Linked DNA regions of Caenorhabditis elegans. The protein of the gene in region 1 interacts with the protein of each later gene in a pairwise test. Each region holds a gene or a part of one and is shown in the gene's direction. Other genes may lie near its edges.

Evidence for each region.
Region 2: the proteins of ceh-45 (region 1) and vang-1 interact in a two-hybrid assay, tested with the Caenorhabditis elegans proteins (one large-scale study listed by BioGRID).

Annotation. Positions count from the first base shown.
Region 1 is NC_003279.8:1,119,927-1,136,226, forward strand, and holds ceh-45 (Homeobox domain-containing protein), read left to right. Parts: upstream 1-8,397; 5' UTR 8,398-8,432; coding exon 8,433-8,500; intron 8,501-9,283; coding exon 9,284-9,468; intron 9,469-9,879; coding exon 9,880-10,088; intron 10,089-11,295; coding exon 11,296-11,361; intron 11,362-11,546; coding exon 11,547-11,708; 3' UTR 11,709-11,839; downstream 11,840-16,300.
Region 2 is NC_003284.9:2,878,511-2,896,221, forward strand, and holds vang-1 (Vang-like protein), read left to right. Parts: upstream 1-7,347; 5' UTR 7,348-7,361; coding exon 7,362-7,517; intron 7,518-8,329; coding exon 8,330-8,463; intron 8,464-8,513; coding exon 8,514-8,646; intron 8,647-8,698; coding exon 8,699-8,917; intron 8,918-9,684; coding exon 9,685-10,127; intron 10,128-10,471; coding exon 10,472-10,690; intron 10,691-10,741; coding exon 10,742-10,910; intron 10,911-11,665; coding exon 11,666-11,791; 3' UTR 11,792-12,171; downstream 12,172-17,711. Other genes in the region: F53B3.5 (Conserved plasma membrane protein), read right to left, coding at 957-1,061; B0410.3 (Neuropeptide-Like Protein), read right to left, coding at 12,361-12,540, 12,601-12,771; F52B10.3 (uncharacterized protein), read right to left, coding at 14,044-14,326, 14,593-14,683, 14,737-14,890, 17,081-17,182, 17,463-17,589; B0410.1 (Nodule Cysteine-Rich (NCR) secreted peptide), read left to right, coding at 16,063-16,299.

The DNA of each region.
Region 1 (16,300 bases):
AACGTCAGCATAAGCATATTTCAAAGGTTTCAGCATAGGATAGTTGGCAATGAGATTTTGCAATAAAATGTGTCCAACTGAAATGTTGTTGGCGATAGTGTCAAAAACATTTGGTTTTTTTAGGTTTCAATGTTTTTTTTTTCGATTTATGAAAAAAATCCAAAGGGTACCCCCTTACAAAAATTTTCAAAATTTTTTTCAAAACTTTTTTTGAAAACTTTTCAAAATTTGATCAGATGTTATAGAAAAATGCAATGTTGGTAGTTAATCTAGTTAAGATGTTCTGAACACGAATTCAGACTAAAACCTGAGGTATAGTAGAACCTCAGAATTCAAAAAACGCACTCACTTCGTATGCTGATATCTCCGTGCAATAATGTTTTATGACAAAGTGATCAACTACGAAGTTGTTTATCTTAACATAAAGTACAATTTTGCAGTTAATCGTTTTTTATCAAAAAATTGGTTGGATGAGATATGAACAGAAAAAGAAGAAGAAAATACAAGCATGAAGGTGCCAAACTTTACACAACTTTATCTCGACCAACAAATTTTTCGATAAAAAACAATCAACTACAAAGTTGTACGTTAGATTAAGATATATAACTTTGTAGTTAATCACTTTGCCATAAATTTTTTTCCACGGAGATATCAGCATCCGAAGTGAGTGCGTTTTTTGAGCTTAGGGGTTCTACTATACCTCAGGTTTTCGTCTGCAATAGTGTGCAGAACATCCAAACTAGAAAAACGACAAAAATTGCACTTTTCTATAATATCTGATCAAATTTTGAAAAGTTTTCAAAAAAATAAATTTTGGAAAATTTTATTAGATAGAGGTAGTCAAAGAGCATTTGAAGGTAGTCAATGAGCATTTATACATCAGATCGCATCTCCATTTTCTCCGGAATTTCAGGAAATGGAAAAGTGCACCAGCTTCTTAGACATCAAAAAGTAACATGTTATTGAAAATTCTGATTTTTCAGCGAAAAAAACTGAAAATTCTGAAAAATTAGATAAAGGTAGTCAATGAGCAACTGAAGGTAGTCAATGAGCCGAAAGGTAGTCAATGAGCAAAGGTAGTCAAAGAGCAAAAGGTAGTCAAAGATCTAAGGTAGTCAAAGAGCAAAGGTAGTCAAAGAGCAAAAGGTAGTCAAAGAGCAAAAGGTAGTCAAAGATCTAAGGTAGTCAAAGAGCAAAAGGTAGTCAAAGAGCCGAAAGGTAGTCAATGAGCAAAGGTAGTCAAAGAGCAAAAGGTAGTCAAAGATCTAAGGTAGTCAAAGAGCAAAAGGTAGTCAAAGAGCCGAAAGGTAGTCAATGAGCATTTATACATCAGATCGCATCTCCATTTTCTCCGGAATTTCAGGAAATGAAAAAGTGCACCAGCTTCTTAGACATCAAAAAGTAACATGTTATTGAAAATTCTGATTTTTCAGCGAAAAAAACTGAAAATTCTGAAAAATTAGATAAAGGTAGTCAATGAGCAACTGAAGGTAGTCAATGAGCCGAAAGGTAGTCAATGAGCCGAAAGGTAGTCAATGAGCCGAAAGGTAGTCAATGAGCCGAAAGGTAGTCAATGAGCCGAAAGGTAGTCAATGAGCAAAGGTAGTCAAAGAGCAAAAGGTAGTCAAAGAGCAAAAGGTAGTCAAAGATCTAAGGTAGTCAAAGAGCAAAGGTAGTCAAAGAGCAAAAGGTAGTCAAAGATCTAAGGTAGTCAAAGAGCGAAGGTAGTCAAAGAGCAAAAGGTAGTCAAAGAGCAAAAGGTAGTCAAAGATCTAAGGTAGTCAAAGAGCAAAGGTAGTCAAAGAGCAAAAGGTAGTCAAAGATCTAAGGTAGTCAAAGAGCGAAGGTAGTCAAAGAGCAAAAGGTAGTCAAAGAGCAAAAGGTAGTCAAAGATCTAAGGTAGTCAAAGAGCAAAGGTAGTCAAAGATCTAAGGTAGTCAAAGAGCAAAAGGTAGTCAAAGATCTAAGGTAGTCAAAGAGCGAAGGTAGTCAAAGAGCAAAAGGTAGTCAAAGAGCAAAAGGTAGTCAAAGATCTAAGGTAGTCAAAGAGCAAAGGTAGTCAAAGAGCAAAAGGTAGTCAAAGATCTAAGGTAGTCAAAGAGCGAAGGTAGTCAAAGAGCAAAAGGTAGTCAAAGAGCAAAAGGTAGTCAATGAGCAAAGGTAGTCAAAGAGCAAAGGTAGTCAAAGAGCAAAAGGTAGTCAAAGATCTAAGGTAGTCAAAGAGCAAAGGTAGTCAAAGAGCAAAAGGTAGTCAAAGATCTAAGGTAGTCAAAGAGCAAAGGTAGTCAAAGAGCAAAAGGTAGTCAAAGATCTAAGGTAGTCAAAGAGCAAAGGTAGTCAAAGAGCAAAAGGTAGTCAAAGATCTAAGGTAGTCAAAGAGCGAAGGTAGTCAAAGAGCAAAAGGTAGTCAAAGAGCAAAAGGTAGTCAAAGATCTAAGGTAGTCAAAGAGCAAAGGTAGTCAAAGAGCAAAAGGTAGTCAAAGAGCCGAAAGGTAGTCAATGAGCATTTATACATCAGATCGCATCTCCATTTTCTCCGGAATTTCAGGAAATGAAAAAGTGCACCAGCTTCTTAGACATCAAAAAGTAACATGTTATTGAAAATTCTGATTTTTCAGCGAAAAAAACTGAAAATTCTGAAAAATTAGATAAAGGTAGTCAATGAGCAACTGAAGGTAGTCAATGAGCCGAAAGGTAGTCAATGAGCCGAAAGGTAGTCAATGAGCCGAAAGGTAGTCAATGAGCCGAAAGGTAGTCAATGAGCCGAAAGGTAGTCAATGAGCAAAGGTAGTCAAAGAGCAAAAGGTAGTCAAAGAGCAAAAGGTAGTCAAAGATCTAAGGTAGTCAAAGAGCAAAGGTAGTCAAAGAGCAAAAGGTAGTCAAAGAGCAAAAGGTAGTCAAAGATCTAAGGTAGTCAAAGAGCAAAGGTAGTCAAAGATCTAAGGTAGTCAAAGAGCAAAAGGTAGTCAAAGATCTAAGGTAGTCAAAGAGCGAAGGTAGTCAAAGAGCAAAAGGTAGTCAAAGAGCAAAAGGTAGTCAAAGATCTAAGGTAGTCAAAGAGCAAAGGTAGTCAAAGAGCAAAAGGTAGTCAAAGATCTAAGGTAGTCAAAGAGCGAAGGTAGTCAAAGAGCAAAAGGTAGTCAAAGAGCAAAAGGTAGTCAAAGATCTAAGGTAGTCAAAGAGCAAAGGTAGTCAAAGAGCAAAAGGTAGTCAAAGAGCAAAAGGTAGTCAAAGATCTAAGGTAGTCAAAGAGCAAAGGTAGTCAAAGAGCAAAAGGTAGTCAAAGAGCAAAAGGTAGTCAAAGATCTAAGGTAGTCAAAGAGCAAAAGGTAGTCAAAGATCTAAGGTAGTCAAAGAGCCGAAAGGTAGTCAATGAGCATTTATACATCAGATCGCATCTCCATTTTCTCCGGAATTTCAGGAAATGAAAAAGTGCACCAGCTTCTTAGACATCAAAAAGTAACATGTTATTGAAAATTCTGATTTTTCAGCGAAAAAAACTGAAAATTCTGAAAAATTAGATAAAGGTAGTCAATGAGCAACTGAAGGTAGTCAATGAGCCGAAAGGTAGTCAATGAGCCGAAAGGTAGTCAATGAGCCGAAAGGTAGTCAAAGAGCAAAAGGTAGTCAAAGATCTAAGGTAGTCAAAGAGCAAAGGTAGTCAAAGAGCAAAAGGTAGTCAAAGAGCAAAAGGTAGTCAAAGATCTAAGGTAGTCAAAGAGCAAAGGTAGTCAAAGAGCAAAAGGTAGTCAAAGAGCAAAAGGTAGTCAAAGATCTAAGGTAGTCAAAGAGCAAAAGGTAGTCAAAGAGCCGAAAGGTAGTCAATGAGCAAAGGTAGTCAAAGAGCAAAAGGTAGTCAAAGATCTAAGGTAGTCAAAGAGCAAAAGGTAGTCAAAGAGCCGAAAGGTAGTCAATGAGCAAAGGTAGTCAAAGAGCAAAAGGTAGTCAAAGATCTAAGGTAGTCAAAGAGCAAAAGGTAGTCAAAGAGCCGAAAGGTAGTCAATGAGCAACTGAAGGTAGTCAATGAGCCGAAAGGTAGTCAATGAGCAAAGGTAGTCAAAGAGCAAAAGGTAGTCAAAGATCTAAGGTAGTCAAAGAGCAAAGGTAGTCAAAGAGCAAAAGGTAGTCAAAGAGCAAAAGGTAGTCAAAGAGCCGAAAGGTAGTCAATGAGCAAAGGTAGTCAAAGAGCAAAAGGTAGTCAAAGATCTAAGGTAGTCAAAGAGCAAAGGTAGTCAAAGAGCAAAAGGTAGTCAATGAGCATTTATACATCAGATCGCATCTCCATTTTCTCCGGAATTTCAGGAAATGAAAAAGTGCACCAGCTTCTTAGACATCAAAAAGTAACATGTTATTGAAAATTCTGATTTTTCAGCGAAAAAAACTGAAAATTCTGAAAAATTAGATAAAGGTAGTCAATGAGCAACTGAAGGTAGTCAATGAGCCGAAAGGTAGTCAAAGATCTAAGGTAGTCAAAGAGCAAAGGTAGTCAATGAGCCGAAAGGTAGTCAATGAGCAAAGGTAGTCAAAGAGCAAAAGGTAGTCAAAGAGTGTTTGCCAAGAAATGTTAAGTCGAGACATCTTTACCCGTTTGTTCTGTGGAGCGCGTTTGCATTCATCCAGTGGCTGTACCACCATAGGAAATTTGAATTCCCGCCTATTTTTCTCAGAAAATTTGAATTCCCGCCAATTTTTTTCTCAGGAAATTTGAATTCCCGCCAAATTTGTTCTCAGAAAATTTGAATTCCCGCCAATTTTTTTCTCAGGAAATTTGAATTCCCGCCAAATTTGTTCTCAGAAAATTTGAATTCCCGCCAATTTTTTCTCAGAAAATTTGAATTCCCGCCAATTTTTTTTTCTCAGGAAATTTGAATTCTCGCCAATTTTTTCTCTGGAAATTTGAGTTCCCGCCAAAATTATTCTAAGATAATATTAATTTCCGCAAAATAATTTTCAAACATTTTTTGTGACGTCACAGACTACAAAAACTACATAAAATATAATATTTCTAAAATATAATCTTTACACATCGCCACATAATATTTTCACTGCAAGACGTCCCCCCCCTTAGCGGCCAGCCACCCCATCTCACCTGTCCTATTACGTGCTCATCGTGCACGAAACCGCTTGAGTCAAAAGGGTGTGAATTGCGTAACCAACGAGTATTCATGTTTATACAACACATTGTTAATATTGTTGCTCATCACTTGTTTTAGGTTCAAGATGGTACAAATCAAGTGGGATGAGTACTTGTAGTAAGCATGTAACAATTGTTGTAGTGGGGGGTTTTAAGAGATGATTATGCAAGAGAGCAAATTGTTTTTTTTTTAATGAGGGGTACCAAAATCTGAGAAATATTTTTAATTGACTCCAAATTTTTCCCTGATTTCGAATATCGATGTGAAAAATTCAAAAAAAATTCCCTGCTTTTATATTTTTTCGGCACAAATGAAAATCGTGATTTCAAGCTTAAATATAAAATCAGGGAAATTTTTTTGAATTTTTTCACATTGATATTCGGAATTAGTAAAAAATTTGGAGTCAATTAAAAATATTTTCCAGATTTCGGTACCCTACCTTTAATTGGAAAAATTGTCGAAAAAACAACCGAAAATTTTCAATATTTTCGTTTTTTATTCTATTTTAATCCAAATTTTAGAGGATTTTAAAAAAATAATTTTAGCATAATTTGGAAAAAAAATTAGGTGCGAACTTTTACCTCTAACATTTTTTGAAACAATTTTTTTCACAAAAAAATTGAACCTGAAAACGATTGAAATTGTGGTTACACTAAGAAAGTTAAAAATTGTTTTTTTTTAATTTCAAAAACAATAGACAAAAATACTAACCAATGTGAACCTAAGACTATCAAAGCCCATACCATGGTCTACCTTCAAGGCCTGCCTTGTACCTATCAAGGCATTCATTTTGCCTACACGCATGCCTACTCTAAAAACCAACAACATTTGAACTTGGAAAAAGAAAAGTAAATCTGCCGTCAAAGCGACCTACGCCTACCGCGTGCCTATATAATTTTAAAATTTATTTTCCTCTGTGTACGCCTTCTGTTCAAAAAAAAACCTTAATGTACAAAAATCCAAAAACCTCAGTGGCCTGGAATTTTGAAATTTAAAATTTTAAGCCTCTAAAATTTGGAAAGCGAAGCTAAACATATTTTCGAAGAATTGAAAAAAAAAACTTTATTCAACCAGTTTTTTTCAAAAAAAAATCGGCCCTTTCCCAAAATTCCTTGACGATTTTCATACTTTGATACAACTTTTATAATTTATATTTTATCTCTCCATGAAAACGGTAAACACAGGATTAACGGAATGTTTCCATGGTATAGAAGGAGTTAATCCAATAGACCCCTAGACTAGTACATCTTCTTATCCATATAGTCTACAGTAACATTATAATATTTACACACCTCTCCCCCATCTCAACACTTTTTTCTTGTTACTTATGGGGTAATGTTTGACACAGGAAGCACGGGCGGTGCTCTTGGGCAAAGGTGTCAGGGGGAGGCTCTCAGCGGGAGGTAGCATTAACACCTTAACTCGTCTGGTGGGAAAGTATACTGTATTGAAAGAGTTTTAGGTGAGTATAAGTCATTATCTATACATTTTGACTCGTGGAAGAGTTTTTAGAGAATTTTAGACCACAAGAACAGTTATAGTCAATCTTTAAAATAAAAACTCGGACAAAAAATTTTTCAAACTTTTTTTTTTTGATGAATTCTCTTAAGTTCTGCGGTAAAAAATCCTAAAAAGGGTAAATTTAACACTCTAACACTACTCCTAAGCCTAAGCCTAAGCCTATGCCTAGCACAAGCCTAAGCCTAAGCCTCAGCCTAAACCTAAGCAAAAGCCTAAACCTAAGCCTAAACCTAAGCAAAAGCCTAAGTCTAGGCCTAAGCCTAAGCCTAAACCTAAGCCTAAGCCTAAGCCTAAGCCTAAGCCTAATACTAAGCCTAATCCTAAGTTTTTCCAGACCCCCTTATTCAATTTCAGCCGCCCCATTCTGAAGGGACACCTGTGTATAATAAGGGGAATGATCCGAATAAGGACGATCAGATATGAAAAGTAAGAAAATAAGGAAGGATCACCGACAGATATTCACACTTGAATGCACACCACCTTTCCCAAATTGAAACCCTCGCCCGAAGAAGGGACATGAGAATTGGAGAAACAGAGACATATTACATATTCTTGACACTGTGCCGCGCCGCCGTCAGGCAGTAAATCATGATAACTAATTGACAGAATGGAGAGACGGGTGTGTATGTATACAGGTTGACTAGTTGCCATGACATGTATATCTGGGTAAGAGCGAGTAGGCATGCCTGCCTTCATGGAATACCTTCAATGCCTACCTTGAGCCTATCAAGGCATGGCTTGTGCCTATTATTACACGTGGCGCCAGAGTTTGATCTACGTAGATCTACGAGACTTCTCAACTGATTTCGTATGGTTAAGAATGTGCTGAAGTCACGTTTTTTCGGGAAAAAATTCCCGCATTTTTTGTAGATCAAACCGCAATGGAACAGGCTGGCACCACGTGCAATTACTTTTCTTGTACCAATCAATGTGCCCTAAGACTATCAAAGCCTATCCCCACCTACCATGGTCTACCTTCAAGGCCTGCCTTGTACCTATCAAGGCATTCATTTTGCCTACACGCATGCCTACTCTAAAAACCAACAACATTTGAACTTGGAAAATAAAAAAATTCACCTGCCTTCAAAACGACCTCCGCCTACCGCGTGCCTATATAATTGCAAAATTTATTCTCCAATGTGTACTCCCATTGTACACCAAAATCTTAATGTACAAAAATACAAAAACCTGAGGGGCCTAGAATTTTAAAATTTGATATTCGAAATTCTAGGCCTTATTAAATATGAAAATAAAATGTGTGAACTCCTCTCGGACAAGTGAATATCTTCATTTTGAGGGTTCTCTTTAATTTTTCAATTTTAAGCTGTTTTCAGATATGTTTCACAAAATCTTGGTAGTCTAGAAAACCCCAATGGCCTAGAAATTGGAAAATCTAAGCCAAATCCTGGTCCTTGTAGTCGAGGAAATCCTTGTTTTAGGCTTTAGACCACAGACGTTCTAGGATTTTCGAAATGTATTTAAATACATTTATGACGTCATTTCTATACACTTTTCGATTTTCCGGCACGATGTTTAACGGAAAACTGAAATTCGAAATTCTAGGCCACCGATACAAGCAGGGGATCCTCAATGTTTCTCAATCTCTATTTATTCACACCTCTCTCCTCTCTTCCCCACTGCGCCAAACGTCGGCGCGCGACGAAGAAAGTGGGCGTGCCGGCCCAATCACCGCCAAAAGCACAAAAGTGGGCGGGCACTGATGATCTACGAGGGGAACAACACTGAAGAATCGCATCCCCCACTACGGTGTGACACATGGCATCCTTCCCGTTTTTAATGACACCTGAAACTATGAACAAATTGGTGACGCCGAATTCTGCAAGGTTGGTTCCTTTTTTTTTTGGTTCGTGTGAAGCCTTGGGGGGCTTTTAAAGGGGGTTCTGTAGTGTTAGTAAAGTACAATTTAGTATAAGCAAAAATCAAATAAAAAAGTTTTAAAAAAAAGTTTTTTGTTTCAAAAATTTTTTGTTTCAAAACTTGTTTCAAAAGTTTTTCCATTTTTTAAACATTTTTTTTTCACTTAAAATATTTTTTAAATAGGTTCGTACTCCACTCGGACAACTTATTAAAAAAAAAGAATTTTCTTACTGCCATAAATAATAATGAAAATTCAAGATTTTTTATACAAAATTCTAAACAAAATTTTGCACTACTTGTCCGAGAGAAGTACACCGGGGCCATTTCTACCTGAAATTTTAGATTTCTAAATTGTTTTTTTTTTTGAAAATTCACGGTGTTCTGGCGTTTCTCATTGAATTTTTCGTGCTCCATTGACAATCGCCCGCCTGACAACGCGTGGGAAAGTCGTGTACTCCACACGGACAGATGCACTTAGTTTTACAACTAAACTCAAGCCGCGACGCGACACGCAACGCGCCGTAAATCTACCCCAGATATGGCCGAGCCAAAATGACCTGGTTCTGCAAACTCTTCCATTTTGAAAATCAAAATCCTCCTAGAAAATTTCATGGTGTCCTAGGAATATTTTTAAAAAATATGTGAAGGGCTTTTCATGGAAGAGTTTTCCTCTGAAGACATTCTAGGCCACGGGGGTGAAAACAAAATTTTTCCATGTGTAATCCTCTCGGAACATCCCAATTTTCCAGTATCTCCTCGTCATCCTCCTCTCCGTCCACATCAACCTCATTCTCAATTGACACATTGCTCTCGAACCCGTTGGCCGGAATTCCGCAGCTTCACAATTTTCAAGATCCATTTGGAGCAGTGGGAGCCGCAGCGGCGGCTTCTGCCCTGCCATGGCAGTTTCATCCGGCTAATTATCCGTTTTTCTGTAAGTTTTTGTGTGGCCCACGTGGAGCGCATTTTTCGTTTTGTCGGTAATTTCAAAAAATCGCAAATTCGAATTTGGATAAGAACTTTTAAAAAAATCAATATCGCCCACGTCGATACACCGGTAGTTTATCAAAAGAGCGCACATGCTTCAATAACAATCTCCATTAGAACTAAACCACGTGGTGCCAGGCTGTCCCATCACGGTTTGATCTACAAAAAATGCGGGAATTTTTTGCCCAAAAATCGTGACGTCATGCTAAATCAGTTGAGAACTCTGCGTCTCTTCTCACGCATTTTTTGTAGATCAACGAAGATCAAGCCGAAATGAGACACTCTGACACCACGTGATAAACTAGAAGGAAGCGATGCTGAAAATGCGCTCTACTGTTCAAAAACTAAAATTTTTCAGCAATGCTCTGCGGACCACTAATGCCTCCATTCATGGCTCCATATCACCATCAACACTACGCCTCCCGACGAAAACGCCGGCATCGTACCATTTTCAGCGAGGAGCAGTTGAACATTTTGGAGACCACATTTTCAACGACACACTACCCGGACGCTACGACGAGAGAAGAGCTCGCGGTTCAGTGCTCATTGAAGGAAGAAAGAGTTGAGGTGAGTAAATGGAAGAGGAGTGACGTCACACCTAGGCCACCGATTTTGTAAGACTGGCTGGCCTAAATTAAATTCCTGGGGACTAGAAAATTCAATGGCCTAACAAAAGCGCGGAGCAATCCTTGGCCGTGTAGTTCTCTTGGGGCGGCTTTTCAGTAATTTTAAGATTATTTGAAACAGTTTTGAAAAGACCCGCAAAATCTAAATTCCGCGGATTTCAACCACCCGAGTTTTTTTCCAGAATTTTTTAAGCTTTTTGGTGGTTTTGAACGACATTTTGATGCAAATTAGACAAAAAAACTCGGGTAGTTGAAATCCGCGGAATCACATTTTCCCGGAAAATTTGTTTCCGCGGATTTCAACTACTCGAGTTTTTTTCTAAATTTTTGACAGTTTTTTGGTGGTTTTGAACAACATTTTAAAGATTTTTTAAAAATCTTATGCGAATTAGACTTAAAAACTTGGATAGTTGAAATCCACGGGACCGAAACCCCATAGAAATTGAATTTCGTGGATTTCAACTACCCGAGTTTTTTTCCGGAATTTTTAAAGCTTTTTGGTGGTTTTTAACCACATTTTGAAGGTCTTTTAAAAATCTTATGCGAAATAGACAAAAAACTCGGGTAGTTGAAATCCACGAAAGTGGGTTTTCCCGGATTTCAACTACCCGGGTTTTTACAGATTTCAAAGTTATTTTTTCGCAAAAAAAAAAACAATACCCGAACATTCCGGGTTAATGAGTCCATTAAACCCTATAATACCATATAGCTGTGTTTCTGAGGAAAACCGTCTGTGGGGTAATCTCTAATTACAACCTCTCACCTGCCTAAATCGTGTCGGCCCTTTTCAATTATTTCATCACCACCAACAGCTCTTCTTCTTCCGTTTATCTTCTTCCACCTGCCTCACTCACTTAACCCGGCAAATCTCAACCTGTAGAGGATGAGGGGGGCGCTGGAAGAGGAGTGACGTCGTCATAGTTCGGCCGCCGGCGCTGGCTTGATCTACGTAGATCTACAAGAAATGTGGCAGAGTTTTTGACTGATTTTGTATGGTTAAGAACGTGCTGACGTCACATAATTTTGGGTAAAAAATTCCCACATTTTTTGTAGATCAAATTGTAATGGGGCAGCCTAGCACCACGTGCCTTATCAATTGAATAATCGATTTTTAAAATAATATTCTTTAAATAAATTTTCTCTTCCAGGTCTGGTTCAAAAATCGTCGGGCAAAAGAGCGCAAGCAGAAGAAGGACGACAGTCGGACTTCTAAGGTAAGCTAGTACACTTTTTGAAAATTAATTTTCAAATGCGCTCTACTGTACTCTCACGGTCTCCCTCCATCACCGCCAAGAACGGTAAAATTGGCTCAGTGGTAGGCGCGGTTTTTTGTGTCAACAGTTTTTGGTTCAATACCCAATAGTGATTTTTTTTTACCTAAATTTCTCTACATTTTCAGCACAGCGGAGACGATTCCGAATGTGACGAGAGCGACGAGGACACCCGAAAAGTGAAACGGATAAAACGCGAAAATTCCAGCGGAAAAGAGACGAGCTCGCCCGAATCAAAAGCCTCACTGAAGACATCGCACAGCGAGAATTTGGTGTTGGAGCCTTGTTAGCATATAATTTGAATCTCTATTCCCCACCTAGCTGGAAATCCAGGCCACCCCCTCTTTATATTCTAGTCCCCCCCATCCCCTCTCATTTTGTCAAGTCAATAAATGTATGTGGCGAATTAATCCGATTCTAATCACGTTATCATTTTGTTGTGGTGGTTGGTTACTGTAGATAATCCCCCGTAAAATTCGCACCGCCCGACCGGTCTCTGGCGGATTACTGTAGCCGTTTGGGGGGAGAGGGGGGTTTGTAAGGAAAATCACATTGCTAAATTAATCGAATTAGCATTTTTATCAGCAACGATTTATGCGTGTGTGTGGAAGGTATTACTGTTTTAAAGAGGAAGTACGGTATTAAGATACCTACCCTGAAGGTAATCATGTGGAAATTTGATGATGTTCTCAACAGAGCGCGTTTGCACACCGCGGTGTGACACCTAGCTGTCTCCAGGCTCCCCTACGCCTCTCGCACCTGCCGCCGACCATTGGTGCGGCTCATGGCGCTGATTTAAGGCACCAGTCCCTTGTTCGGGGGTTCCACTCTCTTCAGTTTACTTTTGCATCGATGCACCAATCTGCAAATCCGGTCAAAATCCGCCGCACTAATCCCACCCGCTGCCGAAGGTCCCAAATCTTTTGCAAATTCTCGTGGGAAACGTTGCGAAGTCATTTTAAGAGGCTAATCCAATGTTTTCCAAAGAAATTAGAATTATTTCTGAATTATGAATGACAGAGAGGAAAGCAGATTCCAATTTTCGCTGTTAGAAAAAATATATGAGCGGGGTGTGGAAAAAGACACGGGCTCAGAAAGCACGGAAGCTCAAAGTGTCCCATTTTGGTTTGATCTTTGATCTTCGAAAAATTCGGGAAAAGAGACGCAGACTTTTCAACTGATTTCGCATGGTTAAGAGTGTGCTGACGTCACATTTTTAGGGCAAAAAATTCCCGCATTTTTTGTAGATCAAACTGTATTAAGACAGCCTGGCACCACGTGAGAAAGTTATAGTCTTGTGTTAATTTTTTTCTCGCGTGACTTTTCTGTGGGGCCGCGAAATTGTAAAAACTCGTTCATTGATCTACGAATGCAATTGCGTTCTACCGATAAATCATAATTCGTTAGCTCTGGAACCCAGATTTGCGTTTAATTCGAACAGCGGTCTCAAACAACATTGAAAATTGGATCAATTTGATCAGCAGTGTCTCATTTTAGATTGATCTACGTTGATCTATGATCTACAAAAAATGCGGGAGAAGAGACGCAAAGTTCTCAAGCTGACGTCACATTTTTCGGGCAAAAAATTCCCGCATTTTTTTGTAGATCAAACCGTAAGGAGACAGCCTGGCACTACGTGAATCAGAAGAAGTCTGCAAACTTCACTGAAACAAAATAACGTGGTGTCAGTCAGTCTCATTGCGGTTTGATCTACAAAAATGGCGGAAATTTTTCCCCCAGGAATTTGTGACGACAGTACACTCTTAACCATGCAAAATCAGTAGAAAAGTCTGCGTCTCTTCTCCCGCATTTCTCGGAGATCAAACCAAAATGGGACATTCTGACACCACGTGCAAGAGTGCAATCGCGCTCTTCTGATAAAATGTTAAAAATGTAATTCAGGGCAGAGCCCTAGAGAGCTTCTAGAAACTCAATATGTGTCATATATTTGTATCATTATTTGCTCTCAATTTGTACATGCACATACACTTACACGACACATAAATTATTAGTTTGCCTCATCTTGGAGGTGGTACGGTAGTTATGTGAGAAGTGGTGCGTGTCCTCTTGAGCACCTCACCACCTCCAGCTTCATCTTCATCTTCTCACCTGGTATATGCCTAAACAGACCACTTAGTCGACGGAGATCGGATTACAGAGATGACTTCTTGAGTGAGAGATGTTGGGGGCTCTTGGAGCAAGTGAAAGAGCAAATATTTTTGAAGGAGAGGGGGTGTTAACATGTCAAGAAGGTGTGAACATGTGTGTAAGATATATGGATCTATAGGGATTTTCTAGACGCCTACAGTATCTAAAGAGGGGTGATTTTTATAGAAAAGCTTAATCCCGCATGGTGTCGGGCGTTGCAAAGCACAATTAGTTTGAACCCGCGAAGTGTCGGGCGCAGGAAATTACTAAAAGTTTGAACATGAGAGGCTGCCTAACGGCGCTTGTTCCGACACGCGAAATGTCGGGCGCAGCGAAACACAAAAAGTTAAACTCGCGAGGTGTCGGGCGCGGTCGCTTGAGTTCGACCGAATGTCATCAATATTCAAAACCTTATGTTTAACGGAAAAAGTGTTTTCTTGTGAACGATTTTTGATCACGGCCGCTAAATTTTCTAGGCCACGCGTGGCGTCACAGAATTTTAGAATTTCCAAGATGCTCCCCTTCACTCCAGCAAAAGGTTATTGCTTATTTTCCGATTTGCCGGAAATTTTGAATTCTGGCAATTTGCCGATTTGCCGGAAACTTTCAATTCCGGCAATTTGCCGATTTTCCGATTTACCGAAAATTTTCATTTTGGCAAATTGCCGGTTTGCCGGAAATTTTCATTTTCGGCAAATTGCAGATTTTCCGGAAATTTTGAATTCTAACAATTTGCCGATTTGCCGGAAACTTTCAATTTCGGCAAATTGCAGATTTGCCGATTTGCCGGAAATTTTCAATTCCGGCAGTTTTCCGATTTGCCGAATTTGCCGGAAATTTCAATTCCGGCAAACTGCCGGTTTGCCGATTTGCCGGAAGATTTCAATTCCGACAAATTGGCGATTTGCCTGAAATTTTTATTTTCGGCAATTTTCCGGTTTGCCGATTTGCCGGAAACTTTCAATTCCGGCAATTTGCCGATTTTCCGATTTACCGAAAATTTTCATTTTGGCAAATTGCCGGTTTGCCGGAAATTTTCATTTTCGGCAAATTGCAGATTTTCCGGAAATTTTGAATTCTAACAATTTGCCGATTTGCCGGAAACTTTCAATTTCGGCAAATTGCAGATTTGCCGATTTGCCGGAAATTTTCAATTCCGGCAGTTTTCCGATTTGCCGAATTTGCCGGAAATTTCAATTCCGGCAAACTGCCGGTTTGCCGATTTGCCGGAAGATTTCAATTCCGACAAATTGGCGATTTGCCTGAAATTTTTATTTTCGGCAATTTTCCGGTTTGCCGATTTGCCGGAAACTTTCAATTCCGGCAATTTGCCGATTTTCCGATTTACCGAAAATTTTCATTTTGGCAAATTGCCGGTTTGCCGGAAATTTTCATTTTCGGCAAATTGCAGATTTTCCGGAAATTTTGAATTCTAACAATTTGCCGATTTGCCGGAAACTTTCAATTTCGGCAAATTGCAGATTTGCCGATTTGCCGGAAATTTTCAATTCCGGCAGTTTTCCGATTTGCCGAATTTGCCGGAAATTTCAATTCCGGCAAACTGCCGGTTTGCCGATTTGCCGGAAGATTTCAATTCCGGCAAATTGGCGATTTGCCTGAAATTTTTATTTTCGGCAATTTTCCGGTTTGCCGATTTTCTGGAAATTTTCAATTCCGGTAAATTTGGTGGTTTTCCGATTTGCCGAATTTGCCGGAAATTTCAAATCGGCAATTTTCCGGTTTGCCGCTAAGATTTGCGGCACGGCCGCTAAGTTTTCTAACCTACGCGTGACGTCACAGAATTTTAGAATTTTCAAGATGCTCCCATTCATTTCAGCAAAAAGTTTTAAAAAAATCCTATTTTTTATTTATAGTTTTCGAAAGTTCTAAGAAATATTTTTTTGCAAGCCATTGTTATTATTGGCGAAAAAACAATTCTTAAATTAATTTTTTTCCAAATTCATCTAGCTATTAGCATCTTTTGAAACATATTAACCACTCGATACACCATGATCCACTGCCCATCCACACCACCACACCGGATTACGGTAGTCAAGCGGTTTGTATTTGCCCAAGGATTTGACCGCTTGTAAAGAAGACACCTCGCTTTCTTGTACGTATGTCTATGTGTATGTAGTATGTCAATGAAATAATCGAACACATCCATCTGCCAAGAGGCTTCTCGGCACCCCTCAACTAATACCAAATGTCAACAGATCAACTGAAAAAAACGACTGGAGGCTCCTGAAGAAAGAACAAAAGGTGCGAGAAACTAACACCTGTCCCCCGAGGCAAAACGTCAAATTCGCCGTGTAAACATGCGTCGAATTTGCTACTTTTTCGAATTGCCAGGGGTTTCGTGGAAGAGGTGTAGTTAGGCCATTAAAGGAGGTGTGACGTCACAGTTGTCCGCAAATCACAAGTGATTCGCTGTATAAAAATCAAATTGAACACATTTTGTGGAAAGTCAAATTGTGATTTATAAAACTTGTGAAATTATTGGACAAGTTTTAAAATATTTAAGTGCAAAAAAAAGTCAGAAAATTTGAATTCCCGCCAATTTTTTTCTCAGGAAATGTGAATTCCCGCCAATTTTTTCTCAGAAATTTTGAATCCCCGCCATTTTTTCCTAGCGAAATTTGAATTCCCGCCAAACTTTTTCTCAGAAAGTTGAATTCGCGTCAAATTTGTTCACAGGAAATTTGAATTCCCACCAAAATTTTCTCAGGAAATC
Region 2 (17,711 bases), on another chromosome or scaffold:
CCGTGGTTTTGTCATGTTTCGGCGGATTCAAGATGCACAAATTTGAAAGGGAAAGTGTCTGTTTGTCAAATACAAAAAAAAACGAAGAATCGAAAACAGACAAGTCGAAACATGTTGAATTCCAATTTACCGGGACAAAAAATGTCGAATTGATTAGATGTTGTAGGATGGAACAGGAAATTGAGAAGGGGGAAAAAAATGGACATCTGTCAACTTTTCGTGTTTCAGAAAACGGCTAAATTAGAAAGTGGGAATGTTGGAAATGATTTCTTAGAAAAAATTTTTTAAAACATTACTGTGAAATTCTATAGATTTTTAAATGCACTGATGCCTGGAAAAATGTGAGCTTTCTTCATTTAGAAGCACTAAATATGGATTCTGTGTGTTTTAAATGTATAAACCTAAAATGTGCTCAAACAAAACAAATTTTGTAATGAAACTTCTCAAAAGTTTTTTCAAAAAAATTTCAATAGCGGCTGGGCTCGTTTCTAAAGTTTTAAGCACTTTTCCGTGTTAGAAATTGCCTTTTTCTGAATATCATAGTTTTTTCTTTATTTTGGTTTATATCATGTTATTTTGTTGATTAAGAAACATTTGTAACCGGTAGGAAAAAAAATGACAAAAACTAGCCAAAATGTGTTACCTATCGGGTTTAAATGCACCATGTTTAACAGAAATTAATAAAATAAACAACCAAAATGTGCCATTAAAAAAATAATTAAAAAGCGGCCAAAATTTGAGATTTAGCTTTAAAAAACTATTTTTATTCAAAATTTTGTACCGCCAAATATAAATTCGGGAGCATTTTTGAGAGTTTTCTTTACGAAAGTGGTTCTTCTGAGCACATTTTTGGTCCATACTTCTGAATAACTTTGAACAACTCATTTTATGTATTTTACAGTTAGAACTAGTCAATTAATAATTATAAATCAATAAAATCAAAAGCAATAACATACCTGAACTTCAACCCAGTTATCAGTAGTCACTGCAAAACATACGAGGCCCAGGCCAATTAAGGAAAACACCGAGGCGCACGAAAGATGACACGGTGAGGAAAACATTGGGGACCCTGAAAAAAAAAACGTAAGTAAGTGATAATTTTTTGGCATGATGTGAAAATACAGGGGGGTATAGGAGGTCTACTCAAACGAACAACACCCACTCGCACAGTCCGCAACGCGCGCGGAAAGATTGGGCGGGGTCAGCCAGCAGCGCTCCCTCTTACCGCTCACATGCACCTTTCCTTGCCCCCTCTCTCTCTCTCTTCTGCATCTCGCACACACTCACATTATCGGACCGTACGCGGCCACCCCGATCGCATTCTTCTTCATCTTCTTCGTCTCACCGGTTGACTGTACGCACGGATGCCTAAAACATACAAGGTCATCAGATATGACCCCTCGCCCCCTTTGCATCCACTCTCAATTCTTCCTTCAATCCCCCCCCCCCACCTATTCTGCCTCCACCACGTCTTCAGTAGGAGTCGGCTTGGTGGAATGACCTGGGTTACTGCAACTTATCTCGACAATATCTCCGGTAGTTCCCCCGTCTTCAGATGCGCCTCCGGATTTACTGATGATATGACCTTCTGGACGTGATGGATTGCTCTGACAAGAACAAAACCGCAGAGGGTTGCAATATACTATGGAGTTACTGATAAATTGCAACGAGATTGATAGTCTAGTAGGGGGCGAATCTGGGTGTGGTACTGGTACTGAATGCAAAGTTATATTTCTCATTTTCCCGGAATTCAAACAGGATTGTAATAGGATTTAAAATTTTTAAATTCTTCTGACCAGTTCTGAACAAGTCAAATAAATACATTCTAATAGTTCAAGAAACACGAAAACCATTCACAAAGTGAAGAATTCACTTGAACAGTGGCTTACCCAACAATTGTCCCCATCATATTTTAAAAACTGGTTCAGTGGACAACTAAACATCTTGGCAAAAACAAAAAGGGCAATAGAAAGAGCATATCCATAAAATTGAAACGTTGTTTTTTTTTAATGAAAAGATGAAAAGGAAATTGTGAGGTCGAGCAGACCATAAAATACATGCCAGGTGTTAGCTATGGGGTTACTCGAATTTTTATTCACTCACGATCTGACAAGTATTAACGGTTTTTGGTTTTGTATATTAGAAAATCTTTGAAATTGCTTTAAAACATGCAAATATTTTAGTTTTAAAAATTCAAAAAAATTTCCAATTTTTTAAATTGATTTTTTTTTGGAAAATTTGAATAAACTCAGTTTTTTCCACTTTTTCGGAAGTCGTCGATCAAACAAAATTCTTCAAAGAATTTTTTGATCTACTTATGTTCCAAAGAACAATATTGATGCTCTGTAGAGGTTACATGCGACAGTTTTTTTTTCAAAAAGTGGTAAAAATTTAGTTATTGCCACTTTTTGATTTCGATAAAAAATTTTCAACAATTTTTTTTTGAAATGTTTTACTATGGTATTTGATAATTTTAAAACAATGTCTTTACTAGCGCTACTCCACATTTAAAGGCAAGGTAAATTACCGTATATTCTCTGTTAGTGCTGCACATTTTGTTTTTTCAAAAACTTGTCAACTATCAGAATAATTTTCATTTATTTTTCTATAGTTTTGCACTAAATTTTTTATTAATATCTTCAAAATAAATCGAGATATAATATTTTAAAGTATAGGAATATGGTGCAAAAAAATTTGAAAAAATTTAAAAAGTTGTAATAATTATATCAGTGAGTTTTCTAACACAACACAAGTATCGTAACATTTTTCTCGAATTTTTTCTCTGTTGCCATCAAAGATGGAATATATACTAAATTCTGTCGGAATCTTTGTAGATTTTATCGTGAACTGTATAGTTCTTATTACTACCCATACATTTCACACTTCTAATTATCTTTAATAAAGACGGGAAAGGTTTTTATTGTAGGGTTTTCTAAAAATGTTAAAATTTATATTATTAAGAATACTTTTCACTGTAAACGGGTGTTTTAATATTTCTGATTTTTTGGAGTAGAACACCGTTGTGTCTGAAAAATAGATCGAAGTATGTTCCAGGTGTTATTTAAGACTACAAGAAAGGCATGGAAAAAAAACTGTATATAGAGTTGAAGTTTTGAAATTTGTTTTAGCGCATATCATTAATTATTTGTGTCTCTTTGTTCCGTACTTTTGTTCACGTTTTTAATTTGAATGGTGGTTAATGGTAATTTAGAAAATTAAAACATTTTGGGGAAACGAAACCTATAAGTACATCATTTTCTTTGATTTCTGGACCTTATTGTTTCAGCCAAATATGTATTTTGTTAATTTGCTTAAATTTTTTGTCGAGGAGTGAAAAAAAACAAATAGAGTTATGTTAGAATTTTTGCGCGTCCCTAAAAAAATACTTCACTACTATTTCTCCAACAATAGATTTTTTATATAAAATGTGACGATAAACCTAGCAACTGCTGGGTTACCAGCATATTTTTAGTCCTGTTATAAATATATAAAAAACTTGACAACATGAAACATCACAATTTTATAGAAAAAGATTATTAAAATGTACTATTTATTTTAAATTTATTATTTATGCTCCTCATTTTTTAAATGAACCAAAAAAAAAATTCAACTAAAGTGTGAGCAGTGACTATAAAAAACAGAGCGATTTAAAAAAGAGAACAACTGAAACAAATTTAAAATCATTTTTGGTATGTATATATAATCTCATGTCGTCTTGTGCAATTAATTATTTTTTGCAGAATTACTTTTTCGGTTTACAAGTTTGTTAAAGTTTAATGCTTGTGTAGTATACCTGGTCCAAAAATATTTTCCAACTTGTTTTCAGTTTATTTCTAAAAAAATATAGCCCAGTTGGATCACCACCAGGCAGTGTACCTGAATCCCAGATTCGCAGTGCATAGCACTTGAAGAACGGATCGCCCTTTAATCCTTTAATTTTGATTTTAGGCTTATAAAAACATTAATCCAAAGCATAATATGGCCGAAAATTGTCACGGAAATGTTGCAAAATTATTAACACTACAAGTACACAAGTACCTAAAATTATTACATAAGTACCAAGTTCTGGTATGATTTCTTCAGGAGATAAAAAATAGACGGTGTTTTTTTTTTGGCCAAATGTCAGTTGGACAACCTTTCGATTTGTTTTTTAATGTACATGTTTTATCAAAAACCTAAGCTTACAAACTTTTAAATTATACTTCCCGAAAGTTTTTACAATTTTTATGGCGGTTCAAAAATTTCGAAAAAAGTACAAATTTTCAAATAAAATCTGACTTTTCGCATTCTTTTTCTTGTCAAATCAGCTGGAATACAGTTATTATCGAATTAACATTTTTATAGGACATTCGAAATGCTTAGCATTTCGTTATTACCGTTTCCGTTAATTAAGATACGCTTAAAGCTGGTTGGTAACCAAAAAAAGTCAAAAATTGATTACCTATTGGCTTTAAATTAATTTTACTCTTTCTGGGTTCGTCTTGAGTTACCATTTTATTTAACTTCATAATTTAATTTGTAAATTGCATTAAAAAGTTCAATAAAATTCAAGTTCAAAATTCATATTCAATTTAGTTTTAAAAAGTTAAGATAAATGCAATAAAAAACAATAATCAATTTTTTTAAATTTGAGTTTTTAACTACAATTATGTACCTCATTTTTTCAAAATTTTGAACCGCCTTAAAAATTATTTAAAAGGTTTTTGGAAACTTCAAGAAAAGTTTCATTTTGAAATTCGTTTATTTTTGTGCATATTGAGTATAGACGTTCAAAATACCCATTAGTTCTCCTTTAAAACTTGTGTTTTGTAAATATTGTGCATAGGTATGTGTAACAAAGGTCGTGAGAACAATCATTTTTATTTCTTATTCACATGCGCAGCTACCGTACGTTTTTTTTTTGTTAATAAATGCAACTCTATTCATTTTGCACCCCCTTTATTTACTTTCATGCTCCAAAAATGTTATGAGATTGACTTTTAAAAGGAAATGCGTTTTTGAATGTTTGGAGCATTGACCTACCGTTTCCTCTCATTTTGTTTGATTATTTCTCACGGTGTCGGTGTCAATGGCAGTTTGATGAAATTCAATACTGTATTAACATTTCAGACATCAAAATGATTTTCAAATGCTCAAGTAAATATTTATAATTTTCTAGACCACATCAAAATACTTTTGTCAAATCGTTGATAAGTTCACTATTAGTTTTTTTGAAAAATGTTTCCGTTGCAAAAATTTTTGAGGTTTTGTAAACGGAAAACTTATTTAAAGGTGGCGGAGCGCCAGTGGGGAGATTGATTGGACATTTTATAAAACGGAAGCACTTAAAACTGTGTTTTTTTGAATTTTTTCCTTTTTTAAAAGATATTTTTAAAAAGAATTAGCTTACTTTTCAAAATTGATGTAGGAACATTTATAGGATCCATACAATTTTGCCGGCTGAAATTGAAATGCTGAAATTAAAAAAAAAATGTGCAAAACCACAATTTGCCAAAAACTTACGGCAAGTGCCGAGGTTGCGCGCAAATTTGGCAAATTGGCAGTTTTTTGGTATGCCCATTTGCCGGTAATTTCAATTCCGCCATTTTAGAGTTTTTCACTATGATATTTGCCTTCCCTGAGGGGCTTTTTTTACTCTTGAATACAAACTTCTGACAAATGTATACCTATTTATGCTATATTTCATATTAGAGACATAACAAAATTTTTGAAAAAAAAGTGTTTCTTTGTGATTTAACAAAGTTATACATTAGAAATGAGTTGTTGAATTTTTTCAATTTATTCCATACCAAAACTACTGCGTTCAGAAAAAACATCTGGTTTCTGCATAAGTTCCGTGAGTTTGTGTGTCATTTTTTTGAAATTTTTGAGGTCAAAATCAGTAGTTTTAGTCAAAATTGTTTTTCAAACTTTTGATGTGTGCGGAAAATTTCGAAATTTGCCGAGCTCGGCAAATTCCCCAAACATACTGTTTTGAAATTTGCCGAGCTTGGCAAATGGTGAACTTGACAAATTCGGCAAATTTGTCGCTTGCTCCTGCTACACAAGTACCAAAAAATAAATATTAGAACAACAAAACGTTGACAAAATTACGGTTGAAGCATTCTAGCACCTTTCGATTGTCACACTAAACAATCGATGCATAGATCCCAATTTTCACTTACACTTGCAAATGTGCTCCAATGAAATTACCATTTGCACTACTGTTGTGTTATCTACGTAACCGTTGTGGTTCTTTGGAGTGGTGTGTCTGCGCGCGCACACCTTCGCCTCTCACACCATTTTCACCCCACTCATCTTTGTTACTGCACACCCCTGATTTGTCGTCTTTCCATTTTTCGTTCACCTCTTGACGGATTGATGCTAATTTTATTGTACCGAGCTGTTTAGAATTCAACTTTTTCAATAGTCCTAAAGCTTTATATCTTGCCAGGTTGCCATATTTTCTTATTTTATGATTTTCTCAGCTATCTAAAATGCGGTACTTGTGAAAGTATACCTGGATTTAAAATATTAATCATTTTGAAAATTTTACGTAATTATGTTCTATACTATGTCCATAAGGATTAATGTTTTTCTAAACCTAAGAATACAAATCAATTTCACGTTTTGTTTAAATTGTAATTTTTAAAAGAAATGAATGGAAAACGTATTGAAACATATTTTTGAGCTAGGTATATTACACAAGTACCTAAAATAGATACATGTTTCGTCACAAAATAAGGAGCCCGTCAGCTAAATCTTACTTTTCGGTTTTCTTCTACCCAAATCCGCTCTTTGAAATCACCAATGAGTGTCGCATGTAATTGACGACCATTGGGAGATGAAAACCGGCTCCAAGGGGTGACAAGAAAGATGCTCCGGTCCGGGGGTCCGTTTTTCGAAAAGCCCCGCATCTGGTGCGGCCTAGCGGATAGTAGTAGACACACACACACACACACACGCACGCTCACTCACCATTCCTCTTCCCATTCCCCGCTCGCCTCTGACCACACCACACATACGCACACACTGGCCGAATGGGTTGCGCTGGGGCAAGCAGTGGAAGGAGAAAGAGGAGGACGCTGCATAATGTGTTAGAGGTTATTTTCTTTTCGGGGTCCCCTCTTTTCCGTCCACTCGTTTGTCATTGATCGTGGATGGATCGTTTACTTGCGGTTGTGTGTGTGTGTGTGGAACGAAAATGTTATGACGGCGTGTGCGCAACCCGAAGGGCTCGTTTTATCTCTTTTCACAAATTGTCTTTGCCAATCTATCGTTCCGTTCGGATTTTTTTTGTTACATGAAATATAATATGTTATAAATCTCATTCTTTTCAATGGATCAAAATTTTTGGAGAGATTTTTTTTTTCAGGTGGAACATGTCGTATCAAGATAACAGGAAACTTCCGAAAGACACGAGGAGTTGCGTTGGAGGTTTTCGGTATGAAGGACACAAGAAGCAACTACGACCAAGATATGCACAATCTGAAATTGGCGAGCCATTTATACCGAGGTTTTCTGCAATTGCTAGTGAGGTAAGCCTTTTTTTTGAAGATACATTTTAAAATGAAACTCAATTAAATGAGGAGTAACGGCTCTGGGTACCAATATGTGCTCAAAATGAACACATTTTTTTTGTAATGAAACTTCTCAACAGTGTTCAAAATGTTTTTAGTCGGTTTAAAATTTAAAGAAAGGGTTAATTTTTTCACATTTTGAGCAGGCAATTTTTATGCCAGTAGGTAACCAATTCAGGTAATTTTTGATTATCTATTCGCTTAAAAAGTTCCTTAAAAAGTAGGCCTGAAATTAGTTAAAATTTGAAATTTGTCCTACTCGTCAATGTCGTTGCGGCTGGAATCTTTTTTTTTGAAATTTCCGTAAAATTTTGAGTATACAATGTAATTATCCTGCGTTTTCAACTTTATTTAATTATTTTAAAGGCGATGAACGAAGAGATTTGGTAAAGTTTTTAAAAAACATAAATAAATGAAATACCGTGAGATAAACAACCAAAATATTCAATAAAAAAAAACAAAAAAACTGCTGTGTCACGGAAACGTGGCCAAAATTTGAGAATTTTTTAAAAAAATTCGTCTTTTTTTTCGAAATATTGAACCTCCCATAAATATTTTTTAGAAGTTTTATTACGAAATTCGTTTTTAATTCAGTTTCTGAAACTCCTTAAATTCTTTGTTCAGATGTGTCAAAATAAGATATAAGCCGACCAAATATCTTATCTAAAATTTAAAATGTCATAAACGCCGAGTCGATATACATATCTTATCGCTTTGCGTTTTCACTTTTGGAAAATCTATTTTTGAGTACATCTATAATTCATTTGCAGGGCCAGAAGATTGCACCACCTAACGAAGACTGGGCAGACAACACCACCGTGCTCACTGGAATGACGACGGATTCTTTCACAATGGAAGAAAAAGTGATTTATACCCCACCAATTGGACGTGTCATAGGAAGACGGTAAATGTTCTTTTTTTCTAATTTCACTTTTTATAACTATTGAAATTCAGGTGCTCTAGGTTTGTCTGGCTGTTGGCCTCGTCGTTACTTTGCATTATATCGGTGGTCAGTGCGCCGATAATGTGTTCATTGCCTATAATCGCACCACGTTTCGGCTTCAGCATGCCGGCAATTCAATGTGACGTGAGTATTTCGAAAACCAATTATATCGCATTAAAAATATAATGTATTGCAGGTCGATTGTGAAGGACTCCTGTTTTTAATGGCAATCAAAACAATCTTTTTGGTAATTGCAATTGGAGTTCTTTATTGGAGGAAAGCCATGGCAGACATGCCCAGGTTGTACTTTGTACGAGCTGCGCTTACATTTTTAGTCATGTTTATCCTGTTCGCGTTTTGGCTCTTTTACATTGTCAGGATAATGTTTGAAAGATACGACAACTACAAGTACATCGTAGGTTTTTTTTTTCAAACACAGTGGTGGCCAAAAGTATATGCGTTTTTGGGATTTTTTTGCTGGCTTTTTTTATAGTTTCAAATTAGTATAGCGCACAAGCTAGGTACCCTAAAAATTAAAATTCAACTACATAACTGTTACCTAGAATGTTGTCTACTTGATAACTCAGGTTTCAATAAATTAAGTCATTGAAATCAAAAGATATAGCATCGGGCACCTCGTAAGTCCTTTTTTTGCCACGTCCCTTTAAAGGTGTAGCAATGCCGGCACTCATCGTGAACAATTTCTGAAAATGGAGGTTAAATTGTTCTAAAACTTTCAGTTCAAATGTGAATAAAAGTGTAAACATTAGTTATTTAAAATAAATGCCTAAAAATATTTTTGAAAAAAATGACCAGATTTTCAACCGAAATTTTCAATTCTACCGATTGCGTAAGAAAAAACGATTGATAACATGCAATATAAAATTATTTGCGGATTATTTGTTACTAAAACTTTGCTCATGAAAACTGTTCATTCTTGAGTTACAGTCATGAGATGTGGCAAAAAAATTGGCTCGCGAGGTGTCGGCCGCTGTAACTTAGTCTTTTAAAATGTTGAAACTTGTGTTATCATGTGGACAAAATTTTAGGCAACAGTTTATTTGTTGAACCATTTTTTTTAAGTTCATAATTTGTAGCGAAAATTCAGAAGCGGGTATACTGTTCGACTTCACTATGAATCATTTCGAAAAAAAATTGTGAAATCATAATTCATAATTTCAGGTTTCCTATTCCACATCACTGCTCGACGCTCTTCTATGGACACATTATCTCTCTGTTGTGCTCCTCGAGCTTCGTCGTCTACGTGCCCAATTCATTGTAACTATTGTTCGCGATCCAGACGGTGAAATGCATACATTGAACATTGGCGCTGGCTCAATTCAAGAAGCTGCCACCGAGATTCTTCGTTTCTACACAACTCGATTCTCCTCGTTCAACATTCACCTTGACAACGCCAGACAGACGGCGGTTGCAAAGCAGTCTGGAATGCAAGGAGGCACCGCAGGCTTCAAGATGTACAATATCGAGCAATTTGGAGGGCAGGAAACTGTTAGTGAAGTCAACACGCGGGCTTTGATGGAAGCCGCGGCGAGAAGAAGGATTGGTGGATATGCTGAAGTGATGCAGGAAGAACTTGATTTTGAAAAACGGTTAAAGAAGAGAAAGTAAGTGTTTTCAAATTCAGAACTAACGATTTGGATACTTTGAACAAATTTTGTAATGAAACTTCTCAAAAAAGTTTAAAACTTTTTTTAAACGGCTGTTTCAACTTCCTAAATATTATATTACTTTTTTCAAAGCTATAATTTCAAATTTTGTCCACTTTTCCCTGTCACAACTGTTGGAATTATATTTTAGAGTTGAGGTAGCGAAATGATTTTTTGGACACAAAATGGCCTAAAATTAAGGAAATTTTTATTGAGAAGTTCTGAAAATTGTTCAAAAAAAATTATGGCGGTTCAAAGCTTTTAAAAATGGCCTCTTTTCGAAACTCATAAAATCTTTACAGGTATCGCCTAATTGCCGCCGCCGAAGACGCATTCTCCCATGTTCAGAACACTGCCGAGTCCGGAACGAACCAAAAGCCTGGAATTAACAACCAGATGGACTCACTGACCGCTGCTCAAAACGTATTCACATGGATTGTCCGGCCGCTCACCAAATATTTAAAAACTACTCGTCTTCAGTCAAGACATCCTTCAGGAGAAGTTACGAGGCACATTGAAAGGTACGTTTTTTTTAATAAACAGAATTCAAAGATTAAGCTTTCAAATTTCAGATGCCTAACACTCAAGTTGTCTCATCGAACATTTCTCCAACGCTTCTTCAGTGACCGTATTCCCCAACGGGAAATTGTCGGGGAATCGAAATGGTCGGTAATTTGCGACGAGGCGGTGAGCTCTGGAGTTCAACACGGAACGTATCTAGTGCTCAAATCGCACAACCCAGTAAGATTTTGAAAAGTTAATGTTGAAGCTAAATACACATTTAAAACGACCGAATATCATAATTAAACACTCCAAAATTTTTTAAAGATTTTTTGAATTTTACAACGTATTGGCAAAGTGCCAAATTTTTGAAAAGTCTAAGCATTAAAAAAATGTAGAGCAATTTCGCATGTTCGGACACTTACAAAGTTCGAACACAAATGTTTAAAACAAAATTGAAGTAAACAAAATAGTAGAAACAACTTTTTAAATCTACTTCCAACATTATGAGTGGCAAAACTGAGTAATTGTCACTTTTTGAAAAAATAATTCAATTTTGTTCGAAACGTTTTTCTGTTATATTTGGCATTTTTGGCACCATAGCAGTAGTATGTCCCATATTTCCTCCAGTAGTTTTGCATTCAAAAAAAAATGCTTGATCGGTCGGTAGGGTTGCAAGAGCATTACAAAAACACTTTAACAAAAAATATTACGAATAAAATCCGAAAATTGGTATTTCTGCATTATTTAAAGCCGATTGGCAACAAATTTTTATCATTTTATTCTGCTAAACCCATGTACCTTTGAATGATTTTATATTGCAAATTTCGGTAAGTTATCTTACGCTATTTTGTTGACTTAGGTACATCTCAAGCAAAATTTGAAACCGCCATCAAAATTTTTAAAATTTTTGAAAAGATTCACTCAAACTTCGCTCGAAAAAAAAACAGTTACTTCTCAGACTTGCTAAACCGTTTAATATTACCTTTTTTCAGGATATCGACTGCGGAGTTCAACTTGTTTGCACCATCTCGAGTATTCCGTTCTTCAATTTGACCGAGCAAGCCAAACCTGGAAATGAAAAGTTTTCCTTAAAAATTAGCAATGAGTCGGCAGTTTGATTTGTGGGCTAGTCATCATGCCATCAAGTAAACTTCCAAAAAAATGCCCATTTGATTTGATCAGTTTTTTAAAAAATTTTTTTTACCTGTTAGCTTCTTTTCTTCAACTTTTATTCTACATCATGCTGTTTCTATGTACGGGTTCCTCATCTGACCGAGATGATAATGACTGACATTTGACATCTCTATCGCGCTGCGTCACTTACTTCTTCGAGTATTTATTTTTCTTTAAGTTTCTTCACATTGACTTATGGTCTGGTACCTTTTCAATATGATATGAATAATTTATTCAAGTTTAAGTTTTTCTTAATAAAAAAGTGATTATTTATTATGTATATTTGATTTTAAAAAAAGAAAAAAAATACATCATGGAAAGAAAAATCATTTTTATGAGATCAGAGGTGGTATATTTGTTTGAGTGTGACTGACTTAGCATGTTGATTAGATGTACATCAGGAAATACCCGTAACACATCACTAGAGAGAACATGTCAAATCGAGAGTACGCTATGAAAAATGAAGGAAACGGATATATGAAAAAAAATGCGAACAAGATAGTTTTAAGTTGGATTACACAAAAAGTCTCGGGAACATCAAGCTTCTCTTCTTCCTTCCAAATCTACTGCTGGTGATTCTCTGACTATTGAAAAACGTGGAAATTCTGTCGTTGATCGTGGGATCCATATCATATACAATACCGTTCTCATCCATGAACTGGTTGGGCGAGAAGTTGTCATTGATTTGTTTTTGCTGAAAACAGTATTGGTGAAAACCGATTCAAATCTAAAAAATTGAAAAGTATTGACTTACCCAATCATCTTCTCCGCGCAAATGAAGAATCGGACGGAAATCAGTGTTTTGCATTCCTATCCGACGTCGCGTCAATTTCTCAGATCTGTAGGCATCGAGAAGACTCATTGACGAGACGATTGTGACAATTAGATTGAAGAAAATAATCTGACGGAGTATCTGCGCGAACATTTTGATAGCTTTCGACTTTTGAAGGTTGTGTTGAAGATGACACTTCAAAAAACTGGACGATCGAGACCCAAATACGGAAGTGTAAAGGGAAAGAGATAATAGTTTACAACTGACAGATGCGCTCGTTTAAATAGAAGATATGATAATAGAGAAGATAGAGAAAAAGGCAAATGGGAAGACAGAATTGGTGAGGGACAAACGACGATTTTCTTCTACTTCACACACACACACACACACTATCAGAAAGGGTGGTATCATACTGTCACACGAGGCGGATAGACGAGAGGACAGAGAAAAGAAGATGTTTAAACTTTGGGCTTTGTCATTTCTCCACTTCTCTCCACAAAACCCAAACCGATTACGATACGATAATATAGACCATTTGATCCAATTATGATGCAAACTGTTCACGAGTTTTAAATGATTTTTCGAAGATCTCTAGCAATATTCGCAGAACGTCATGCATGTTAAGAGTAAACAAAACAAGTATGAACAAATATTTTCCGTGAATAAAAATTTTTCAAGAATAACATGAACGTACAAAGAATGTATTTCTTTTTCTACGATTTTTACCATTCCTGAAAAAAAAATTGCTTAAAACTGTTAAATATAGAGATAAAGTTGGCTATTGAAAAAGGCCACTACAAAATATTTTGCATTTTTTTTTTGAACCGGAAGAGATTTGTTAACTTTGAAAACTTCGGTCGTGTAGTGAGGCGCGGAATGAAGTCCTCACGCCGACTCCGCGCACCGCTGTGTGTATACAATGAAGTGCGAAGGGTAGTTATTTAGAAGCGGCCGACATTTTCCAGGTTCCGCGCCGCACTTTAAATTTGGATACATGCCTCGTGAGTGACGCCGTGAGGCCGGTGCTGCGACCTCATGGGAGCCGTGTTTTTTTCAAGAAGCTTCAAGTAGGATTGCATACCTCTAAACTCCAAAAAAAAAACAATAGTCTGAAAATGATATTTAAAGCAATTTTATGATCCTGAAAATTCAGGGCGGTTTTTTTCTGATTGAAAGTGCAAAGCTGCCGTTGCGTACTGGCCTAATTTAAGGGTTCTCTCTTAAATGGAAAATTTTGTCATTCAGAACTCTAATTGTGAACCTTTTTAAGGCAGATAACTAGAGATAGCTAGACTGACAGAATCTTCAAATATCCTTTTTAGGAAATGTCGTTTATTGCATGAGAAAATCTGAAAGTGTAGGAAGCATAGAAACCAGTTGTATGATTGGCGGGAGTCTTACTGTACAATGAAAAACTTTTGAAGTCTACTTAGTTTTTTTGGTGGATTTTTTCAGCAAAACTAGGGTCAAAATTGCAAATGAAACGACAGCGACAATGGTTACACCGACGAGCCACATTGTACAGTAGAAATCACACTCCGGAGGTCCCCATGTTTGCTTATTAATTGATCCGTAAGAGTCGCCAAAGAATCGGAATTGTTTTGCATCCGACGCCACTTGTTGTAATACCATCCATGTGCAATCTTCGGTCACGCCTGATGATGTATCACATTTCCAGCATTCGGGTGTCAACGCACACTTTTCCACCCTGCAATGTACACATTTGAACGACGTCACAAGCGCTCGTGTTTTCGTCGTCGAAAGACTGTCGTTCAAGAAATCATTAGATCGTTGGACAACTTTTGAAGACGAAAAAGACACGAAATGATTATAGGGACAAATAAATGTTCAATGGAACTGGAATTGTACTTTCTTCCTTTACAGTTAGAAATTCAGTATCTCTGCAAGACACTTAGCTGATCGAGTTGATAAGGATTCAGGGGGAGTCCTGATAGTTCTTTGAAGTAACCTCACCATCTGATCAGATTTCTAGCATCATTCTTCAGTAGCACGGCCATCGGGAAGTGAGGCATCAATGAACTGGTGGGGAAGTACGGACGATAGCCTGTAAACGATTGTGTCTATTCAGTGATTGCCCAAAGAACGATCAGTTCCAACCAGAAGACGTGACTTTTCGACGACTATCATGTGAAATATATGTGACAGCATTCTTGGAGGACTTTCTAAACGGACCCGCTTGCATCAGTTTTGTATTGAGAATTTCCACGTCATGGGTTAGCCATAAAACTGTTGAATGATGCTTGAGGATTTCCTGAAACGAATAGCACAAATATCAAAACATTCGAACACATGGAAACGACGTTTATGATCTCCAGTATACTTGTGACGTATGTTCTTTCTGAGTGTACATCACTGTGCTAGTGACGTTTCGAATGCCAGAGAAGCAGTCTTGAACCCTGTTGATCTCACTTGGATGATTAGTTCAAAATGTTTGTCATCACTAGGATGATTCAGATGTGATAAGATTTATATTAATTTATGTTTTCCGCATTTCAAATGTAGACTGAAAACACCTATGATTTTTTTTGTTTCAAATGAAAGGTATTTGGTAATTGATCAAAATGTTATTAGGTCAAGTTGAATTGAAGTTTGATTTTCCATAGTTTTCATAAAGATGGATGGGATTTTTAATATTTCAAACTTGATATTCAAAAAAAAGTAAAACGGCATTTCAAAAACAGCGTATCAAAAATTGATTTAGTGTCTAAAATACTTTTGTATATGATATCATTGTGAGACTAAAAATACATTATTTTTCAACTTTCAAAGATGAACAGAAAGAATATTTGTTCATTCAAAATTCAAAATATTAGTGTTGGTTAACAACATCTCAAAATAGATTTATATGTACAATTTACATAGCGAAAAGTAGGTACTAGTGCAATAACAGAACAGGGATGTGCGGCAATCAAAAATTACCGGGAGTTTTCTATCAAAACTAAAAACAAAAATTCCGAGCCTAACTCTATTTTTTCAAATTTGAAAATATATAGTGTACATGGGCTTTTGCCTCTAAAAATTTTTATCAAGCACAGCCTCCTCACGTGGAAATGACCCAACAAGGGGGCTTGCGCGTTTCTCGTGAGCGTTGGAAAATTTTACCACTGAAAAATGATTTCCTTCGGTTTTTGTGGGTTTAAAATCGATTTCATATTTTGAAATTAGGTATCAATTGTAAAGCTAATTGGGGGAAAGGAGGAGAAAAAAAGATTTTTGATTTTGGTTCAAAAATAAAAGCGCTGATATAAAAAGTAAAAACAACTAAAAATTGAGTTTTTCTTATATTTTTTATATTTATCATCATTTTTCTAGTAGAAATTGATGTTTATTTGAAAAGTAATCTTCCACCCAAGCTTATGTTATGAAAAATATAAAGAAAAACAGTAAATTGAAAGTTTTGGTAATTTCTCAATTTTCCACGCGATGCACGAGAAGTGCGCCAACGGACCGATTTCCACTGGAGGAGACTGTGTCAAGGAGCATTTATGTATAGCAAATACGGTAATTTTTTTGAATGTCTTCTATAATAGAAACAAAAATCTTGTTACAAATTTTATGATTAAATGTCCCAGAATGCGTTCCTTCGATGTAGGCCTATTTTTTTTAATCGTTTCCAGTTGTTGTCATTTTCATTATAAAATGCATATTCCATGTAAATAAATTTTTGTGCCTTTTTTGAAGTTTTGAACTTTTACTCTAGATTCCCGTGATTCTTTTAAAAAATTCCAGGAACAAGTTCTGTCCCGTTTCGTATTTCCAAAAAAAAAGTTGAAAGGACAGGGCAAATTATTTAGGCTTAAAATACTTGTTACTTTGCTGTATTTCAATACACGTTTTACAGTTTCATTGCGTCTTTAAGGTGGAGTAGCGAAATTTGAAACGTCACTTTTTTAAATCCAAAATCACCGAAACTACCTCATTTTTAATAAAACGCTATGGGAATATTTCGAAAAAAAAATTATGGCGACTCAAAGTTTTGGAAAAAATCGTCAATTTTCAGCTAAATCCACAAATTTTTGCCAACGTGACAAAATCACAACCCACCCATCGACCGAAAATGTTTTTCAATCAACAATTAAACGCGTAAAAAATTAATTTCCACTTTTTTGAACAATTTTAGGAACGTCTCATAACGAAGTTGTGTAGTATGCCTGGCCTAAAATATATTCCAATACGTTTTCTATTAATTTCTTTTGAAAATGATAATTTCCTCAAAACGTAAAATTGATTTGCATTTTTAGGCTTAAAATCTTTAAAAAAAGTGATTAATGTTCTTGAGTCAGGTATACTACACAACTACCCGAAAATTGGTAGTTTTGGGCCGTTTTGAGCCCGAGAAAACACAGTCTCAAATTTTACTGAACCCCATTTAACATCCATTCACATTGGAACCTTTTTAAATGAGATTTTTGAAATGTTTAATTTTCTCACCCATTTTTACCTGTAAATAGAACGGGGTACTTGCAGTATTACCAATTCCACGATTTTTGAAATTCACAACTTCCACATTTCTTATGCTGATCAGTTGAGTTTCCAACGCTGTCTGAAATACAAAGTTCGGGTTTTTGATCTTCCATTTATCTACTTTGTTCCTTGCAAAACAGGTTTTCACTGTTTTCACAACATTTTTATTTTTGTAAACATAGCCAAGCATGGCGGTTTCAAACTCAATCAGTTGTTAGTATCATATGAGAGTTTTCTCTTTCTCTACATTCAATACGTCTTCAGTCGATATCAACAAAATTTAGTGGGTTTATGGTATTGTCTCTGACAAAGAATGACCTCGACGTGATACTGTGAAATATCAGATATATGGAACGAACCCCGTTGGCATGATCAAAGATAATCAACTTTGTTGTTGGGAAGTTCCTATGGATTGAAGCAATGAGCACAAGTAGCCGGTTCACATCTTGAATGGACGCAGATAGTGCAAAGACAAGATCACGGGACCTGTAAATCTTTATTATTACTGAAGTTTGGATGAATTTTGATGTATTACATCGTATTTTTAACAGATCAAGATACTTATTTGAAAGATCACTGATACCAAAACAGTGATCTCTGTCATTTAT